Saccharomyces cerevisiae S288C: one gene and its partner. Changing the gene in region 1 together with any one later gene gives a genetic interaction. Each region holds a gene or a part of one and is shown in the gene's direction. Other genes may lie near its edges.

Region 1 (4,077 bases):
TGCATGTCTTGAAACTATACAACCTATTGCCGCGATGTCTATAGTCTTCTTCATTAAATACCAACTTTCTTAAAATGGGGTGATCCTTTAACCGTAATTCACATTCAAACATAGAACCATCAAAATTTTCTCGTATTTCGTTTAAGTCCAAAAGAGGTTTATTGGATTTGAGCTGATTCAAATCAATCTCGATTAGCTTCAAAGAAGAGTAATTGCCGTTCGCTATTCCCTGAGATAAATATGTTGTAGTCTCTAGCAAGTTCAGTTGTAGTTTAAGTGGGGTAATTTGCATTTTGCTCAAACTTGCTATATTCCCCTCCATGACTACATAGACCTTGTCAAAATTTTGGCTGCCAGACCTAAACAAGTAGTCTTTCCTGTATATTTGCTTCAAATCTCGACTTCTAACCTCTATTCTCATATTGCTTTCCCCATCAGGCAACCCCATTTTATAAGTAGATGGGAAAACTTTCATACCATTTACTAGGCGAGTAGATTGTCTTGTTGATGTGACTGATGATACCGGTCTCGATCTAATGTCGCCGTTTTCTATCAATATAGAATTAGCTTGAGAAAAGTTCCTGTCACTTTTTATATATCCGACTCCATTAACGACTTTGACGTCCTTTGATGGCACCTTTAAATTTGAACTATTGAAAAATTCATTGTTGGTGACCATACTATTTCCTCTACTATTGTTACTGAAGGCATTAAGTTCTTCATTGTCATCTTCATCAGGTTCTATAATAAGATCTTTTGGCTCAGGTATAAATTCGAACGTCTCGATTTCCCTTATCAGTTTATGGAATGGCTTAAACCAAGATGAAGATTTCCCTAGCTCTAATTGAACTTGCACCATATATATAACTTTTCCAAAAGAGTAAAAATACAAATCCAGATTATCGATTTTATTAAATTCTTGCCAATGACTATTGAACGTAGGTGGGAGTCGGGCATTACTTCTTGTCACAAACGCTACTGTCTTTGCCGTATGATTTTTCAGACATTCAGGCTTTCTGGGAAACTTGTCAAATTGAAAGCTATAATTATATGAACCTGGTTTAACTTTGAACGGCTTGGAGGAGCCATCAAGAGCATTCCATACATTATCTGGAGGGAAAACTCTCTGTTCGAATTTCATTAATGTATGAAAGGATTTGTTGTCTTGGCCCGGCATCATCATGCCATTCTGTTGAAACATGTACTCTTGATCAATTTTTGTTAAGGTCTCTGAGAATCCTTTTAGAATGACGGAAATTTTCCTTATAGATAGCGCTTTTGTTAACTGAAGACTAACTATCCCTGACATTTGATCATTAGAGCTATAAAACTCCCCGTTGTACGGTGGGTTTAAGGATATTGAAATTTTTGGAGCCATGGTTTGACAAACTGTATGGTTCTCAACCTTCTCTAATCAAAAGCAGAATCTTAAATATAAACACTCACAGAATATCCGTTGGTCAATGAAGTAATTCTCCTTTGTACTGGCTGCTTTTTCTCCTCTAGTTTATGTAATTCTACTTTTGGATGGGTGCGACTGCTTTTAATTGATTGAGTGGCGGTGTTAGAAGGGCTGTAGAGTCGAAGGCTTGTTTCTCTCTTACGCACCTCTTGTGAAAAGGGCGTGCACCTTCCCCAGGACCCTCTCTCACCCTCAACCCGCATTTTGCTGAGAATTTTCACCAAGGCCCTAGGTGATATTAGATTCCACCTGACTAATTGCATTACAGCCGACCCAAGGCAATATCAGTTTAATAAAATATCATGTATCTCACCCTCTTCTTGGTATTAGTAAAGAGACGCCTGATCTTGTAACAGTGGTGAAGATTGTACTAGAGCAGAATCAAGAATTTAAAAAGTGTAAAGGCAAGGCAGAGGCGATGTACATAAAACTTCGAAGTAAGAAATATTTAATAGTTCTCGCCACATCACTATGCAGCTATATAAAAACTACTATAAACGTTTGTTTTGTTCCTTACGCACAATATCCTTGCCTAGAAATCGTTTTTGAAATTTAAATTTTTATTACCATTTATTTGATTCGCCTTCAGAAAAATATGGAAGAGTGCATATTTAAAAAGGACTATTTCAGCATATAGTAAAAGTCAGGTTATTTGTTTATTTGCGATATCAGAGTAACTTAAACTAACTATGCAGGGCACTTTTAAAAGGTTTTACCATCCCACGCTTACGCGGATGTCCTTCTTGGATAAATTCCTCAAGCCTATGATGGCAACGGCTTCCCCAAAGGAATACCAGATCAAACAACTGGTCAAGCCAATAGGCTTAACACAAGCACCAAGGAAAAGCACCAAATACTCCCAGGGGAACTCTTTGAGGGATATGTTTGATTCGGAAAAGACAAACCACAGAGTTAAAGAGTTGGCCGTTGAATTCAGCAAATCTGGACTTTATGACGTGCAAGTCTTCCAAAAGACAAAGGGGAAATTGTTTATAGCTCCAGTTTCATATTGGAAAGAAGATAAAGCTTTGTTTTTTCCTCATTTGATAGGAACGGCAATGGATGGTACGAAACAACAGAATATCGAGGATATGTTAAGGGGTAAAACCAGTATAGTGAGGTTATTTAGTACAGCATCTGGCGATAAGTTGAGTAGTTCATACTTCCAAGGAATCGTAGACGATAACAAAAAAACTGACTACTTGACTGAAGCTGATGCGCGTTTAAGTTTAAATGACAGTAACGTCCAAATCATCGAGGTCAATCTTGTAGAAAACGCTGTGAAAAGTGCTCTAGTGAAAACGCTTGCTCGTTGGGCCAATCGCGTTCCATCCTGGCGCCAGCCATTTTATTTCGAATGTTCTAGAGGCCAATGGCCATTTTCCGTCAGGGAAGAGCTCTTTTGCAATAATGTCTTTTCTGGATACGTCTTTCTTGTGGACCAGCAGTTAAAAATTAGGTGGGCAGCTTGCGGGGAGGCTACTCCATCTGAAAAGGAAGCATTGTGGAAGTTTGCCAAACGTCTGTGAAGTTGACGCTTTGTGCGGCGGCCAACAAGGGATGGGCGGCTATTTGGCGATCGTGTTCATTCCCCAAACTAACACGAAGAGCATGAGAGAGAAAAAACAAAAGTGCTTGAAACAGGTAAGACGTTTATCATTGATATCACCAAAGAAATATATAATGCCGGATTCTATTTTTGAACAGCCCTTTGTTTACTGTGGTGTTTGCCACAGAAGAACATCGCATGGAGATCCATTGAGGCTGACCTCATGTGCTCATATCCTCTGTTCGCAGCATTCTCCATTAACATCAAAGGTGTGTCCTATATGCCGTTCGAGCGATATCTCCATCATTAACCTTGTGGAATCTAAACAGCTGCCTACCGACATTAGGATTTTTTTTGAGCCACTGCCCCCACTTTTGGAGTCGTTATATAATGTTTCCCAATTCCAACTGAATGGGCTTTCGAAACAGTGTCAATACTATCAAAATCATTGTTTAAAGTTGAGAGAAAAATGTGCAAGACAACAGCAGCTGCTATATCAGGCCAAAATAGAGTTGGATTCTATGGCGATTCTTAAGAAAAGAATACAGGAATTAGAGTCAGTTTTGAATCATAACAATGTTTCTTCGATGTCAGTTGGTGTGCTACCAACAAGAAATAGCCATCAAAATCATTACCAGCCCCCTCCAACCGTTGATCTGACAGTTGATGATAATAGTTTAGAAGAATTCGAAGCCAAATCCTTTATTAAAAAGTTGAAAAAAAACTCTTCTTTGAGAAATTCTTCAAAAAATAACAATGGAACTGTCACTCCCTCTACAAGTGGTCGTGTAAATAAAAACCAGCCTCTCTTTATGGAGACATTGAATAATCCTAATAGAAATAGCATTCCTCCTCCTGGAATGAACCCAAACGCAAATAGTAATCTACCTAATATTTCGACTATTGCAGAATCAACCAATCTGAACAGATTTTCGTTCTCTCCTGTGCGTGTTGCAAAAGGCTTCGATGGAAAGTTGCCAAATCTTGACATCCTCACGAATAATGGCTCTGTATCTTCCAAAAATATATCAAGATTATCTTCAGCTTCTCTCCAACCCTCTTCGCC
Region 2 (3,682 bases), on another chromosome or scaffold:
AAAAAGGAATCTGCCTTTGCATAAGTTCAAAAGTGCAATTTTAGTGTTGGATTTAAACGGGAAAAATTGAAATGGCCATCGAAACAATACTTGTAATAAACAAATCAGGCGGACTAATCTATCAGCGGAATTTTACCAACGACGAACAGAAATTGAACAGCAATGAATACTTAATTCTTGCTAGTACACTGCACGGTGTATTCGCCATCGCGAGCCAGCTGACTCCGAAGGCATTACAGCTAACTCAACAAACGAACATCGAAAATACCATCCCATATATACCTTACGTGGGCATGTCCAGCAATAGGAGCGATACAAGAAATGGAGGTGGCAATAACAACAAACACACTAATAATGAAAAACTGGGCAGTTTTAAAGGAGATGATTTTTTCAAAGAACCATTTACGAACTGGAACAAGAGCGGATTGAGACAACTATGCACGGATCAGTTCACGATGTTCATATATCAGACCCTAACCGGCCTGAAGTTTGTCGCTATCAGCTCCAGCGTCATGCCCCAGAGACAGCCAACTATAGCCACCACCGACAAGCCTGACCGACCCAAGAGTACATCCAATTTGGCCATCCAAATAGCCGACAACTTCCTAAGGAAGGTTTACTGTTTGTATAGTGACTACGTCATGAAAGACCCATCTTACTCAATGGAAATGCCTATAAGATCTAACCTGTTCGACGAAAAAGTCAAAAAAATGGTAGAAAACCTACAATAGACGCACGCGCCATCGGAAGATAAACGCATTCACACCAAGAAAATAAATACTACGTACTTCTAGAACTAAGAAGAAGTTGCCGCTCTCCGTCTCCTCCTTCATAAATAGGGATAGCTTTTACTACTACGTACGAAAAAAGACCACACTGCGACGGATCCTCTGCATCCCAACACCAGCGATAGAAAATGCGCCGCCTATATCGTCATCTTGCTTCCTTTTTCTTACTCCCTTCCTGCCCTGGAAACACCATACAATCCATCACATCATATCCTGCCAATGCACTATTACGCAGCTTTCGGCACGTGAGTACGGAAACACCAGTTCGGAACCGGGTACACAATAGGGATAGTCAAAGCTGTCCATTTTTTCCGCTGATGGATGACTGATACCAAAGTGTAACCCAAAAGGGGTAGTCGATCCTACTTTTACCAGTTACGTTAAAGGGACCAAAACGTGGGGAAGGGATGCCGCCACCACCACCGCCACTACCCCCGCCAACATGGCCTAACTTAGCAGTCCTCGCTTGTGTATCTAGGTCCGCGTCCGCTAATTCGCGCGGCTTGCCACTTAACCCCGTCCAGTTAATTTGCCAAGCAGCGGCCGCACGTTGGAACGTTTTCGCCGATTTATTTATTATTATTTATACATGTTGACGTTGGTGCCCTTTTGTTTATACTGGAGCCTAAAACGTACCTCAATTAAATTTAGTGTGCCATATTATAGTGCTATTAAACCTTTATTTTTATTTTTAATTTTAAAACTGCTTTGGTTCTCTCCCTCCCTTACCGTTGCCACCTTAAGACTCACTGATATTTATTCATACTTACAAGTGCTATAAGAAAAGACTTGATTTATTAGCTTTACAGCGTTTTTACATTTGTGTCACTGCTATTATATTTTTGTTTACCTCTTTTTGTTGCTGGTGTTGGCGCTACCATTGTTTTTTTGTTTTATGAGTTACGTTTACAAAAGTTCTTAACATTTACTGTACGATAATATACTAAGGTGAAATACTAAAGTAAAATAAAATAAGAGAAAGAAAAAAAAAAAAAAAAGAAAAAAGTAATGATGATGTTCCATAATTGCAGAATTAATAACTACTTAATAACTTCTCAAATTGGCGAAGGCGCGTACGGTCTGGTTTACCGTGCCTTAGATATTCGTACCGATAGACAATACGCTATCAAAGCGGTTGTTCAAAGTTACGGTGTTAGCAAGGAGGCTGATATGGGCAATGATAAAATACACAAAAATAGCGTGAAATTGCAAAAGAAGCTCGCTAAACTGTTCAAGGAATCGAAAAACGTTGTCAGGGTGCCCTCTATAGATCTAGAATCAATTGAGAATATGTCAGAAGAAGATTTTAAAAAGCTGCCCCATTATAAAGAGATTTCGCTACACCTAAGAGTCCACCATCATAAGAACATTGTCACCATACATGAGGTGCTACAATCTGCAGTCTGCACGTTCATTGTCATGGATTATTACCCAACAGACCTATTCACGTCTATTGTAGATAACAGACATTTTGTCACTAATGGACTGCTAGTAAAAAAGGTTTTTCTACAGATCTGTTCTGCTCTTAATTATTGCCATGAGCACGGCATCTACCACTGTGACATCAAGCCTGAAAACTTGCTACTGGATACAGAAGATAACGTTTTCCTATGCGATTTTGGTCTATCCACTACTTCCACATATATAAAGCCAAATGTTTGCATTGGTAGCTCGTATTATATGCCCCCTGAAAGAATCTCATTTGATGGGAGAGTTTCCAGCTCTAAAAGTGGGGGACATAAGTTGGGTAAGGTTTGTCCCTCATGTAATGGCGATTTGTGGTCATTAGGTATCATCCTTATCAATTTGACATGCATCAGAAATCCCTGGCTGAAGGCTGACAAAACCGAGGATAATACCTACTATTATTTCACTAAGGATCCCAATATACTAAAGCAAATCCTACCGCTTTCCGATGACTTTTACTCATTATTATCTAAGATTTTACAAGTGAATCCGAAGAATAGAATGAGCTTGCAAGAGTTGATGAAAGAAGTTAGTTCTATTACAAGCTTCACCAATGAAGGCCCGTTATCAAAAGTGCCGCCTCTTTCCAAGTCTGTTTATGAAAAGTTCGTTAGCCCCGTCGATAACACGAATGAGAATTTGTCTCCAAAATCCTACGTGTACATGCACGATAGTAAAGCTGCCAAGAATTTATCTTATACATCTTCAAGTGAGGAAGAAGATGGAATCAAAGAAGGGATAGACGATGATAATGGCAGTCGCAGTGGCAGTTTCGGAACGCTAGACACAGACACTGGATTGCATTCTTCGTTCACAAGCACTTCTTGCGAGTCCGATAACGAATGTTCTAAGATTTCCAACAAATTTTCCTTGTTCGAAAAAAAATTCAACGAACTTCGCATGAGTTCCTCTTCTTTAACTAACTAACCCCCTCCTTTTTGGCACAAAAGTGTACTACACATCTGTTTTAAGCCCACAATTGATAGACCTTCTCTTGATGATCATCTGTTTTCCCGAAAATATTACTTGCCAAAGCAAGTTGTAGTTATATTCACACTTCCGTTATGACCCCCTCATCCGTTTAATGTTATTTGTTTTTATGGTATTCCCTTTATTCATTTTTTTTCTTGCTTTTTTTTGTTGATCCCTGTAACCCCTTTTTTTTTTTTGGAAGTTGCTATTATTATTCATTCACATTTGTTCTGTCTTTGTTAATTTTCCAGGTCACCGTATTTAATTTCTATATAACTGTTTCTAATATTTACTTCGTTTTATCCAAGCGTTATTTACTCAATATTCAAAACTTTACTTTTTACCACCTGTATAACATCTTTTTCAATTTGATAAAACGTTTTGAAATCTAAGGGAACAATGTCACAGTCAGTTTCGTCGTTGATGTCTGGTAACTCCAGATCCCTGAATTGAGA

What was found. A genetic interaction does not mean that the proteins touch.
Region 2: mutations in ATP10 (region 1) and VHS1 together harm fitness more than expected from each alone (negative genetic interaction), as found in Saccharomyces cerevisiae (3 studies listed by BioGRID).

The regions. Positions count from the first base shown.
Region 1 is NC_001144.5:904,928-909,004, forward strand, and holds ATP10 (Atp10p), read left to right. Parts: upstream 1-2,151; coding exon 2,152-2,991; downstream 2,992-4,077. Other genes in the region: ART10 (Art10p), read right to left, coding at 1-1,378; SUMO ligase CST9, read left to right, coding at 3,023-4,077. UniProt on the Saccharomyces cerevisiae protein: Essential for the assembly of the mitochondrial F1-F0 complex.
Region 2 is NC_001136.10:954,217-957,898, forward strand, and holds VHS1 (putative serine/threonine protein kinase VHS1), read left to right. Parts: upstream 1-1,796; coding exon 1,797-3,182; downstream 3,183-3,682. Other genes in the region: TRAPP subunit TRS23, read left to right, coding at 72-731; YDR246W-A (uncharacterized protein), read left to right, coding at 917-1,117; YDR248C (gluconokinase), read right to left, coding at 3,542-3,682. UniProt on the Saccharomyces cerevisiae protein: Probable serine/threonine protein kinase involved in the G1-S transition.